Linked DNA regions of Ovis aries. The protein of the gene in region 3 purifies or fractionates together with the protein of the main gene of each other region. This does not show direct contact. Links are inferred from orthologs where the notes say so. Each region holds a gene or a part of one and is shown on either strand. Other genes may lie near its edges. The genes, in order: MECP2, KIF22 and KPNA4.

Region 1 (3,942 bases), on a different chromosome or scaffold from region 3:
AGTCCACAGAATTGAAAATCACCATATTTTCATAGCAGCTTCAAGTAATTTCAATTTGAAAGAGCCAGGACGTCATAGATAGTTAAAGGCTGTCTTATTCCCATCATTGGTGCTATTGAAAACTCATTTATCGATTATTTAGGTGAAAGGGCAGGTTTTACGTTATGTCTATGTGATTGTAATAAAAATCTCTCAAAGCCCATGCAATTCATTTAGGCCAAGTTGCAGTCTGGGCACAGGGGTCTCCCTACTTGGTAGCCAAAGAATTCTCTCCTCCCCTCCTTGAGCTTCTTTTTAGTTGTTCCTTTGTGTTGAGGTGGAGACTGCTTATAATGCGGTGTTTGCTGCTCCTGCAGTGCCTCCTCGCAGGGCTGGCTGTCGCTCCACCCTGCTGCTGGCCCAGGTTTCCCTATCCTCAGTTGGTGACACTTTTCCCCACACCGGCCAGCTGTGTTGCTTCACCTCCTGGTCACGTCCCGAGTCCCCACTACCTACACCTGGGACTGTGCCTCGAGAGCCCCTGGAGCAGTCTGCCCTGCCCTGGGCATCGCCCCATGAGGAATTGCCATCCCCTGCCCCAGATCATCAAGGTGATGCTGCTGCAGGGCTGCTGTGGCATGGAGTCCAGCAGGCCTCAGAGTCCCCCAGGCCACCTGCTGCTCTCTGGGGTCTCCTGCAGGCCACTCTCCACACAGCAGCTGAAGGAATCCCATCACACCCAGAATCAAACCCGACACAGCTCCATGACCCCTCCTTGAGGCCTCCCTGCTGCCTAAAACCTTCCTCATAAGACCCTTGAGACCCTCCCTCACTTTCTGTCTTTCCCTCCTTTTCCCCCCAACATCGCCAAGCGGGTTATTTTCTTCTCTGAAATCTAAACAGTTCATGCTTTTGGATCTTCACTTTCCCCAGCACAGGCTGCCCTAGGACCTGAGCCAGCCTGTTTCCCCTCCATGGATGCTAGGCGTGTTCTAGTCTCTTCCCTTCTGTCTTGATTTTCTTTTTGGTTATGTCAACTTTTACATGATTCGGAAAATGAAATTCTGGTCCACACACCTGGCAAGTTCTGGCCCTGTGCCATTCCTCACCTCAGTCCCGCCTACCCCATGTTGGACTAGTTCTGTGCATTTCTGCCCTCTGCTTCCTAAAGTCTCTGTTTCTCCCCTGGAGAATGGCCTACCGTGGACCCCTTCCTGGGGGTCCCACCCTGAGTTTCCCACCCTGGGGTTCAGGTTACCTGGCTCTCCGTGGTGTGCACATGTCAGTGTTGGCCCAATAGGTCTCGGGCGGTGGCTGTCTGGCTTGGCTGCAGTCTTGGGCCAGTAAAAAGAATGCTATCACCAATAGCATTGTGCTCAAATGCAGAATGTTGTTTTCTGTTTCTGTGGGTATGTGTTCTTGGTAGATTTCTAGAAGGGCTGGCCCTAGACGGCATTGACACCCTTGTTGGTACCTAAGGGGCATTCCTGGGGCACATGCTTCATGCCAAAGCTCACCGTAGTTACAGTATCCACAGATGCACATGAGGGCTCTGAAGAAGCCAGACTTGGCCATCAGGGCCCTGTTTTCCTGTGGCCTGGGACTGTCTGGGTTCCTGACACAGAGCTAAGCCTGGGCTTACCCTCGAGCTCTGCCGGAGACAGCCAGGATAGGTAGGAGGGCGAGGTGTGCCCTTTCCATGCCCCGTCTCCCTGGGCCCGACCTGTGAGTTCTGGTGCAAACTCACTTTTGGGGACTGAGCCATGTCATTCGAGTCTTGCGGCCAAGGCAGGCCTTGGTGCCTTGGTGGTGGTCTCCAGGGTATGGCCAGCAAGGGAAGTCACTTGGGGTGGGTTGTTGTGAGCCTCACGGGCCCCAGGAGGCTCTGGGGCTGAGATCTGGAACACAGATGAGTCTGGCTCTTTTCCAGGGTGAGTTTCTAAGAGAGGGCTTTGCAGGTGACTGGCTCTGAGCCCACAGTTCTGGTTTCCAGGCCTCCCTGGCCCAGGTGATGCTCTCACCCTGTTGGCCCAGCCACGAGAGCAGCATGGCCAGACTCTAATCCCAGAGTCTGGAGCCTCACAGTAACCACTGTCCAAGGAGATAGGAGGGGGTCCTACCGGGTGGGACCCATGCATACCGGAGGAACTGGTCTGTCAGCATGGAGGAATGGGGAGGCACCCGCCCTGGAATCAGGCACGTCCCAGTGCCAAAGCCCCGCGTGGTCAGGAGAGTCTGGTGAGAAAGACTCACCCAGCAGGGAATTGCTCCTCTTCTCACGTGAGAACCCTGGGCAGTAGTGTCTGGTTGCCCCATCCCACTGTTTAGACAATGCCTTTGTGACTCTTCTCTGTCTAGGGTGTTGGTACCCATTGTCAAGATAGGAGGAGACTGAGGCACAGGATGTTGAAGTCACTTGTGCAGATCCATGTTTGGAAATGGCAAAAAAAAAAAAAAAAATCACGATTTGGGCTCGGTGTGGCTTACTCCAAATCTGCAGGTTTTTCCTCAACACTGCACTCGGCACCACCTCCCCAGGGGCAGTGTTGGGCTCTTCCCATCACCAAGGTGTATTGTACGGTTTTCATTGAACACCCATTTGAGAAAACCCCAAACACAAAAGCTTAAAGTAACACTTATGCTTAAAAACACAAAAACTTAAAGTAACACTCCCTGGGGAAGAGGAGCCCCCTCAATTTTGGTGAGTAGGTCCCTCTCCAGCGGGTGAGAGAGCCTCTCATCATCCGTCCAACCCAGAGGCCCTAGCTCGTAACACCGAGAAGCCATCTTGGCAAGCCTGCTAGAGATGGGCCTCAGGGTGACCACAGTGTCGGTAGGGTGCTGTGGGCCATCACTGTCAGCAGCCCCAGGCTCTCAAGTCATCTGTGAAGGGGAAGGGCATTTCAATCTGGGGGACGCTAGTAGGACAGCCCCTCTCCTGGGGCCCTGCCCATGTCAGGGCACCCCAGACCTGCTGGCGCCCACTTTTTTCTGCACACCAGTTTGTTCCCTGTGATACTGACATCCTTGTTTAACACTCAGGGAAGAAAAGTCCGAAGAGCAGGATCTCCAGGGCCTGAAGGACAAACCTTTGAAGTTCAAAAAGGTGAAGAAGGATAAGAAAGAAGACAAAGAGGGCAAGCATGAGCCCCTGCAGCCAGCAGCCCACCACTCTGCCGAGCCAGCAGAGGCCGGCAAAGCAGAGACCTCAGAAGGGTCAGGCTCGGCCCCAGCCGTGCCAGAAGCTTCTGCGTCCCCCAAGCAGCGGCGCTCCATCATTCGTGATCGGGGCCCCATGTACGATGACCCCACTCTGCCGGAAGGTTGGACCCGAAAGCTTAAGCAAAGGAAATCTGGCCGCTCCGCTGGGAAGTATGATGTGTACTTGATCAAGTAAGTGAGGGTGATTCCTGTCTCTCCAGAGCAGGGAAGGCTAGTGGTGGTGGTTGGGAAAGAGTCAGGGATCACCACTAAGAAACTTTTGGGGACCCCTTGGAGTGTTAGCTCCTTGCGGCTCATGGATCAAGAAAGTGTGTGTGCGTAACCCACTTCCGGTCGGGTCTTCAGTAGTGACCACTGCTGGTGGGTCTGATCAGGTATGCTTGGAATGACCACCTGGGGAGGTCACTGCCCTGAGGGAGATGTCCATCAGGGCCTTGTCTGGAGGAAGAATAGCACTGGGGACACAGAGTTCTGCCATTCATACTCTGCTGATGATTTCCCAGCAGAGGGGCTGTCCTCAGGACCTGGGAACCTCTTCTTTGTGGGAGAGTCCTTCTGTGCCAATACTTCATGAGCCCTGAGAAATACAAATTCACAGGGTTCAGTCTGTTGCGTGAGGCGTGCTGGTAAAGGGGGGCTGTCTGATACAGCCTAGAGAGAGCCCCAGATGGGCTCGGAGTACCTTTCCCACTGTCCCTCTGGCCTTTGTCCAGCTGTGGGCTGGTGGTTGGGTGTTACCTG
Region 2 (3,942 bases), on a different chromosome or scaffold from region 3:
AGGAAGCTGCAGGCTCTCATTGGTAAAAGGCCGGTTGATCACCTCCTTGGACCTGGCTGCAAAGTTGAGTGCAGAGACTGTGTCCAGGTAAAAGCGTCTCTCAGGGGCAATGTTGGCAATGAGGATGCTGTGGGCTGAGCCACCCAAAGAGTCCTGAGAGATGGGGACAGGGCAGGGTGGGTCAGTCAGTAGCCTCACCTTCCCCTTCCCTGACCGCTGTTCCTCGATACTCCAGCAGGCCCGAGAACCCCTTTCTCCAGCCCCTTTTACCCGAGATGGGAGGCCTGACCTGCAACAGGCGAGTGAGCTTGCTGTCCCGGTAGGGTACCCGAGGGAGGCCCTGGTTCAAAGCATCCACCACCTTGCCCAATACAAACAGGGAGGTGTTGATGGCTCCACTCTCCTTCAGCCTTAGGCCCTTGTTGCCTGTGCGCCGGTTGTCCTCTGAGCCAGCCAAGTCAATCAAGTAGAGTTTCCCTTCCCGCTGGCGAAATGGGGCCAAGCGTTCTCGCTGATCCACCTGGGGGCAAGAGCAAGGGCCCCCATTTAATTCAAATTCTGGGGGCTCCGCAGGTCCTCACCCCTGTCGGGGGTGGAGGAGAGGTCTCACCTTAACCAGGAGCACAGCATGACTGCGGGAAGAGCGCTGGTTGAGCCGGGTGGCTCCCACCGTCCGATTTCGGCTGGCTGGCAGGAAATGCCGCTCAAAATCAGCAAAGCTAGTGATGGGCTTCTGCGTGAGGCCCGGAATCAGGATATTTCCTCGGCAGTCTTCTCGGATCACCAGGTCTCCCGATGAAGGTTCCAAGAGGTCTAATACCTATGTGAGCAGTGAGGGGTAGGGCCAATTCTCCACTTACAGGCTGCCTACTTCCTGCCTGTGGTTCTCGTTTTCTTTGCTGGATTCTCAGAGTTGTGCCATCTGCTACCCTAACCTCTGTCTTTCCAGGTGTCCTTGCTAGATCAAAACTTCATGTTCCAGAACCGGGTCTGATTTTTACCCTTTGTTTCTTCCCTCCCCAATCAGAAAGGGCCCTTGAGGACTTCCTGGTGGTCCAGTGGCTAAGACTCCACACTCCCAGTACAGGGGGCCTGGGTTCGATCCCTGGTCAGGGAACTAGATCCCACATGGCAACTAATGATCCCACATGTGCCTCAATTAAGACCCTGAGCAGCGAAATGAATATTTAAAAATGGGGCTGGGGGGCTCACCTTTTCCTGGTAGATCTCTAAGTAGGACATAGTAACAGAGAGGGCCCACGGCCGGCCCTCAGCACCCTCCTCCCTCGTGAGCTGTAGGAGGTCCATGAGAGCCCGAGGAATCACCCCAGGCTGCTCTGGGCTGCCCAGCATTGTGTGTGTCTTCCCTGGGGAAAGAGTGGAGAGAGCTGTGAGATTTTCTTCCCCGTTCCCGAGTCCCTTCTGGCCCAGGGCTGCTCTGTATCTGGCCTCCTCACCTGCCCCTGTGGGCCCATAGGCGAGCACACTGGCATTCTGCCCTTCTAGCAAGTGCCTCAGGATGGGCTGCACCGATCCTGCATAGATGTCCTGCTGAGAGCTCCTCTCCCCATAGAAAGCATCAAACCTGCGGGCAGGAAGAAAGGCGGGACTCAGTAGCAGGTTCCATTCTCACCCAGGTCTAGAGGATAAAACTGGTCTCACGTTTAAGGGTCCCTATTCTTCTTCTTACACAAAGGTCTAAGAAAGTGCCCACTGAACACCCATTCTGTCCCAGTCTCTGTTTTGGTGTAGAAACACAGAGATGAATTTGGTATCCCTGCTCTTAGGAGTTCTGCAGTCTGGTGGCATAGATAGATACCCACACTTTGCTGTGACTCAGGAAACAAAGATGAGAATGCACTAGAAGGAGTAACATTCTGCCTGGGGAAGGAGGATTTTTGCCAGAGAGAGAAGAGAAAGATACTCTAAGTGTCAAAAATAGCACACAAGACATGGTATAAAAGGGCCAGGCTTCCCAATCCTTTTTCATAACACAGAATTTATAGAAAGAGGCATCTGTACACCACATGGAGTAAAGACTAGATGAGACTTGACACACCTGAAGCTTAGTCACTGTACTCTGACGGAGAAGCTTCGGTTGAGGCAGGGATTAGCACTGATATAGTGGAGTGTAGCATGTGCTGGGGGAAATGAGGCTGGAAAGAAACTAAAGCCAAGTTGTCAAGGGCCTAGAACAAGGTTGGCAAACTTTTTCCATAAGAAGCCAGATAGTAAACATTTGGGGCTCTGTGGACTACATGGTTCCTTTCACAACTGCTCACCCGTCACTGTAGTCAGGCAGAAAGCAGCCGCAGATAGTATGTAAATAAATGAGCATGACTATATTCCAATAAAGCCTTATTTACACAAAGTCTGCTGACAGATTTCACCTGCAGATCTTAGTTTGCCACCCTCTGGCCTAGAATGACAGGCCAAGGAGCCTGAACTTTAAATCTCCCAAGGAATTTTAAAACAGCTGTAAGCTCTATCCCCCAAACATGGGCGGTCTTATCTGACACCACCCAGCCACAGCCTGGGCTGGCTGGCTGGTCTACGTTTCCCCAGTCCTTCCCACCCCTCCCCAAAGGTCCGAGCTGGACTCCCCAGCTCGCCTTTGCTGCTCCTTCCCCACTTTGTGCCTGCTTCCCCTCTAAGACTGTGAATAGCAACGTGCATCTGACTCAGCCTCCAGCCTTCCCCACACTCTCCTGGACAGGCCCTATCGCAGTGGGCACCCATGAACATTACCCAAAGCAAAGGTGTGGCAAACAAAGCTGCACTAAGGAAGGAAGAAGGATCCTCAGGAGGAGGTCTGAGAAATCACTTCTGGGCAAGTGATAGTGCGAGCAGGCCTAGGAGAGAGAGAGTGGGAGGGAGTGTGGCCTGAACCTTACTGGTATTTGAGAGTCTCTTGGTGGTTCCTCCAGTTGGCAATCTCCAGAGAACAGCTGTCCAGGCCCCGCACACAGGGGGTGTCGTTTTCTTCAGCTGTCCCATCCACAAACGGGCGCAGTCTCACAGCTACCCTCACTCGAGCTGGAGGTGGGCGCCGGGCAGCTCCCACCTTGCTTAGCCGACAGCGACCGGCTCCTAGAAGATCATTTTTAGGCGTGAAGCATGGTGGCAGCTTTGCTGAGAGATAAGGGTATGAGTGGGCTTCCTGGTGGCACTAGTGGTAAAGAACCCACTGCCAGTGGGGGAGACCTAAGAGACACAGCTTCAAACCCTGGGTGGGGAAGATGCCCTGGAGAAGGGCATGGCAACCCACTCCAGTGTTCTTGCCTGGGAAATCCCATGGCCAGAGGAGCCTCACGGGCTACAGTCCATAGGGTTGCAAAGAGTGGGACACGAGTGGCGCAACTGAGCACACACGAACACACAAGGCTAGCAGTCTTGGAGGTGGAGGTAACTGAGCTGACCCCTGAAGAATAAGTAGGGTCACTGCCAAGCATTTCAGGAAGAAGGAAAGGCACGTGCAAAAAATATGGAGGGGTGAAAGCAGGCCCCCGTGTAGAACCACTAAGGCAGGACTGTGTGTGTCCTGTAGGTGAGTCAAACACAGAAGGGCAGGATGGAAGAGAAAGAAGAATCAAATACACGGTCTCAGGCAGGGTGCAGTGGGGGGCTGAAGGAGAGAGATTATCTATGGCTGGAACCATAAACCAGATCGTGTACTTAGCAAACATTCACATTTATGAAGCACTGGCTAAGTGCTGCTGCTACTAAGTCACTTCAGTCGTGTCCGACTAAGTGCTAGGCACACTTTAACTTCCATGGTGTCCCTGAAAGGTAGCTTCTGTCAGTCCTATTAACCTGTGAAGACGCTCACAGAAGTGCAGCCACTCTCCAAGCACCTCGGTGTTTTAGGCCTGGAGCCCTGTGGCTATTACTGTATCTTGAACCATAACCTACATTGTATCTTCTTTGCTATTCAGAGGAATA
Region 3 (4,666 bases):
TGGCCCTTGACTTCAGAGAGCTTACTGTCTAGAGAGGGAGAGGCACCTTAGACAGACATTAAACAAATACGGAAGACCAAAATTACAAGTTGTGGTTATTTCCTGTTTGTATTGCATCTCTCTTGGTGGATACTGTGATCACACCCTTCTTTTAGGAGTACGGTATTCTGAACTGAATTTTCTTATTCTAAACTCAGTTTCAAGACATCAGTGCTACCGTGTGCAATGTTACCTCAATTAAATGGTTCTATGGGGAATAAAATTTATAATGAACACCATTTTAAACTTAAAATCGGCACTGAATTTACATTCAAGTTAATGTACAGTGTGAATTGTTTCCAAGCACAGCTTCTGTGTGCCTAGGTAGCTGAAAGCATACAAAGTATTCAGGACTTTAAAGGCATTATTCTCATTTTAAACGTTTCAAAATATATTTTTAAACCATTTCCGTCTCCCGTTTTCTGAAGTACTTTTAGTACATTCTTTCGTCGATTGTGCTATTTCTATCTCTGGTAATAACATTTCTGTTAGAGATGTGTATCTTTGGAACTCTTTTCCCTTCTAAGCAGAGTCACAATATTACATTTCCTATGTCTGGTGCCACGGTTCCCGCCTTTCAGAAGTTAGTACTGTGTGGCCGAGAAATTCCTTTTAACTTTGCAAGACGAAGTATCTTGGAGGATGGAGGACTTCCCTAGTGGCTCAGCGGTAAAGAATCCGCCTGCCAAGCAGGCGCCACCTGTTCGATCCCTGGATTGGGAAGAGCACCTGGAGACGGAAAAGGCAACCCACTACAGTATTCTTGCCTGGGAAATCCTATGGACAGAGGAGCCTGGCGGACTACAGTCCATGGGGTCGCCAGGAGTCCTATACCTTTACCACTGAGCCACCAGGGAAGCCCCTAAGAGTCCGTTAAGTCTTAGCAACTAACCAACAACACAAGTATAACCACAGGATAAATCAGCGCTTCCCAAGTTCCCACCTGTTGCGGGACTTGGTCAGAGGGGATGAATCAGATTCCTCTAAAGCGTCCTTTTCCTTTTCCAGCCACTGACCCTCCCGCTTTCCGCTGCGACTCCGGAACGCTAGTCACTCTTTCCAGTCCAGGCCCCAAGGCCAGGCCCCCAGACAGCAGAGACCCCTGCTAGGGTAGGGAGCTCGGTTGAGAATAGGGGGCTGTCCCGATCCGGGATGGAACCGAGGCGCAGATCTCCTGTAAAGCACCAGGAGCGCGTAAAGAATGCCCTAGGAGAGAAGACGCACCGAAGAAGAAAAGAACGTACTTTGATTGAGCTTTGGCCGGGGGACTCCAGACCTCTGGGGCGGGTCCTACAACAAGAACAAACCAACTCGTTCCCGGGCGTCTCCTTCCCCCTTCCCCTTCCCGCCTTCCTTTAAGCCTCCTACTTCTCTTTCGCTTCCTCCCCCCTGCTCCGGGGGCACGTGGTCCCTCCCTGCTCTTCCTCGCCACACCCCCTCCCCTCCGGGCCCATCCCGCGGCCCCTTCCTCCCAGAGTCTCCCGCTTCCCCTTTCCATTCGCTCTTCCGCCCCCGCTCTCCATCGTTCTTTCTGATTGGTCGCGCGCACCGGAGTCTGGTTGGCCAATCGGCGAGCGGGACTGGCGGCGATGGGCGTGGCCGCGGCGCCGGGGCCCTCAGATCGAGGCTGCCTCCCCCTCGCAGCCGGCAGCACATTCCGCCGCCGTTGCCGCCGCCCGGCTCCGCAGTTGTCTTCGCCGGAGCTGCGGTCGCGCTGGGGTTAGGGCGGGGGGGGACGGGCGGGGAGAGGCGAAGACCGCGGCGAAGGCAGGTGAGAGGAGGAAGGAAGCGGCGGGCACAGCAGCTCAGGCAGCGGCCCGGTTCCTGGGAGTGTCGGTGCGGCGTGGTGGTTGGGGCGGATCCCGCGGGGCCCGGGCGGGGGAAGGAGTCACCGGCCCGGCCATGGCGGACAACGAGAAACTGGACAACCAACGGCTCAAGAATTTCAAGAACAAAGGCCGCGACTTGGAGGTAAACTCGGGGACGCCGGAGGGGTGAGGGCCATGGGCCTCGGGTCGATCTCCGCCGGGACTCGGAGTGTGGGGAGTAGGGGCGGGAGCCGCGGCCGCCGCCGGGCCGCAGGGGAATGGCGCTGGGGGCCGGCCCGTCCGTGACGCGTGTGCTAACGCGCCGGGAAGTTTGTGTCGGGCCTGGTCCGCCTCCGCGGGGAGCGAGGTGCCGGGGTACGGCCGGCGCGGCCTAGGCCTGCCCGGCGGAGCTGGCCCGGCGCGGTTGCGAGGGGCTGGGCCTCGCGGCAGGGAGGCCGGGCGCGGCGAGTGTGGAGGAGGCGTGCGTGTGCCGCGCCGCCCCGGCCCGCCTGCGCCCCCAGCCCCGGAGCGGCGGCGGAGATTCCGGCTCTGGCTCCCGCAACGACGTCTGGGGCCGAGGGTGGGGAGGTAGGAGGGACTAGCGTGTGGCGACCGAGTGGGGCTCGGAACTTCCTCAGCGAGGCCCGAGTCGTCTCCACTTAAAGGCACTTTCTCTGGTCTTTCCGACTCCCGCTTTACCCCTGCCTCCCCCCAATATCCAAACTACAGGAGTCAACTTCTCCGTTGAAAAAAAACACCCCCGGCGTGAGAGGCCTTCCTGGTGATGCTAACAGTGCCTTCCAGCGGCCTGTGTTTTACTGTGGATATAGCTGATGTGGATGAGCAAGATGTGGCTCACGGTGTGCGCTCTTCCTGGCAAAGGATAACCCTTATGTCAGCTTGTTCACAAATCTTTTTACCCTTTCCTGAGAGACCACCAGCTGCATTCTTACCTATAAAGTCCAAAGGGTTATTCAAAGCTGTCTTCCTCTAGTCTACAGTATCCTTTCCCTCCACCTGCCGGTGGTGGTGGTAATGGGGGATGGGGTGGGCTGCGGAATGGCACCATCACATTTTATTATTCTAAAAGGGTGAAAAAAACCCCTTCATTATTTTAGAAAATAGCTGCTTTTGAGGTTAAGGGCCATAAGGTGTGAGTTAAACACCTATTACAGATTTTTGATATTAGACTTTTTTCCTTCAGTATTAGGAGTCTAGGTGAATAGGGGTTCTTTTGTTTGCTTTTTTTTTTTTTTAATTTTAAATATTTCCATTCTGCATCTGAATCAAGAGTTTAGCTTTTAAAAGAAGGTGGTCTAGTGGTATTTTTTTTTTTTTTGTACTTTTTTATACTGAGATCTTCAAATTCCCATCATCTGTTTCTGAACTTTGAGCTTTTGCCTGATTGAGATAGTGACTGCTTGGGGGGCTTTCCACAAAGCCATTTACTCTCCAAGGCAGTTAATGCTGTCTCAGTGGGTTTCCTAGTTTGAGGGACTTAAATACTATCTGGTTAATTCTGTGATTCTTTTAAGATTAACATCAGGCATAATTTTTATAACACCTTTTTATTTTAAATGAAAGAATTTTAACTTTATTGAGATGATTCACATGGTATTGAAATTGCCATTTAAATGAAGAATTTATGATTTTCATTGTTTAGTAGTGTAATGATGTGATAAAAAAATTTTTGACTTATGAATATTTAAAATAAGGGGGGGAAATCACAAATTACAAAACCTAAAAGCTTAAATATGGCAAAATTAGAAAAATCTAGAGAAATATCAAATGCTTGACAATCCTTCTAATCTCTTTCCCTTCTACTTTTCTGGCTGTTTTTTATTTTTTAAACAACTTCATTGAGATGGAATTCACATACTATACAGTTCACCCATTTGAAATGGTTTTTGGTATTTTCACATAGTTGTACAGCCATCAGCACAGTCTTAGAACATTTTCATCACTCTCCAAAAGAAACCCAGACTCACTAGCGGTCATTCTGTCTTTTTAGATTTACCTATTCTAAATATTTCATATAAATGGAATTATACAGTATGTGATCTTTTGTGACTGGCTTCTTTAGGTAGCTGATGTTTTCAAGGTTTATACATATTGTAAAAATAATGTATTAGTGCTTTATTCCTTTTTATAGCTGACTATTCCAGTGTGTGCATATACTAGTTTTTGTTCATTCATTCATCATTTGCATTGTTTCCACTTTTTAATGATTAATGCTGCTCTGAATATTCATCTACACATTTTTGTGTAGACCTGCGTTTTCATTTCTCTTTAGTTTTACACGTATGGTAACTTTATGTGTCTCTTTCTGTGGAATTGCCAAGCTATTTTTAGGTGATCCTTATTTTTTAAATTGATGTTCTCCCCTCACTGTGTATTTCTTATTTTAGCCAAAATAAGATTAAAGGCTGATTCTATATTAGAGCCATATTTGCTATGTGATTTTTTAAAAATAGCTGTAAATACACATTAAGTAAAATGTTTTGAGAAGTTCATTTTGCCTTGTGGGTATCCTTTAGTGGCTTTGATAACTCTGCATGCATTAGGAATATGAGTATTTTCATGTTTCACCTAAAGGAATGGAATATGATTTTAAGAGAAAGTCATCCTTTCTCCTCACTTGTAATTTATTCTGTCACATATGCCTGCAATGAAATAAAAACATCTTTTATTATCCTGGGAGAATATTGGAAGGCCTGTGTGTGTATGTGCTTAGTCGCACAGTTGTGTCCAACTCTGTGTGACCCTATGGACTGTAGCCCGCCAGCCTCCTCTGTCCATGGGATTCTCCAGGCAAGAAT

Evidence for each region.
Region 1: the proteins of KPNA4 (region 3) and MECP2 purify together in Homo sapiens (affinity purification with mass spectrometry; 3 studies listed by BioGRID and IntAct, counting the BioPlex papers as one, with this or other methods). This does not show direct contact. The link is inferred for Ovis aries from reciprocal best matches to the Homo sapiens genes KPNA4 and MECP2.
Region 2: the proteins of KPNA4 (region 3) and KIF22 purify together in Homo sapiens (affinity purification with mass spectrometry; 3 studies listed by BioGRID and IntAct, counting the BioPlex papers as one, with this or other methods). This does not show direct contact. The link is inferred for Ovis aries from reciprocal best matches to the Homo sapiens genes KPNA4 and KIF22.

Annotation. Positions count from the first base shown.
Region 1 is NC_056080.1:80,263,732-80,267,673, forward strand, and holds part of MECP2 (methyl-CpG-binding protein 2), read left to right. Parts: intron 1-3,021; coding exon 3,022-3,372; intron 3,373-3,942. UniProt on the Homo sapiens protein: Chromosomal protein that binds to methylated DNA. It can bind specifically to a single methyl-CpG pair. It is not influenced by sequences flanking the methyl-CpGs.
Region 2 is NC_056077.1:26,958,822-26,962,763, forward strand, and holds part of KIF22 (kinesin-like protein KIF22), read right to left. Parts: intron 3,091-3,942; coding exon 2,895-3,090; intron 1,586-2,894; coding exon 1,458-1,585; intron 1,368-1,457; coding exon 1,213-1,367; intron 821-1,212; coding exon 611-820; intron 521-610; coding exon 290-520; intron 154-289; coding exon 1-153. UniProt on the Homo sapiens protein: Kinesin family member that is involved in spindle formation and the movements of chromosomes during mitosis and meiosis. Binds to microtubules and to DNA. Plays a role in congression of laterally attached chromosomes in NDC80-depleted cells.
Region 3 is NC_056054.1:227,593,765-227,598,430, forward strand, and holds the start of KPNA4 (importin subunit alpha-3), read left to right. Parts: upstream 1-1,657; 5' UTR 1,658-1,941; coding exon 1,942-2,010; intron 2,011-4,666. UniProt on the Homo sapiens protein: Functions in nuclear protein import as an adapter protein for nuclear receptor KPNB1. Binds specifically and directly to substrates containing either a simple or bipartite NLS motif.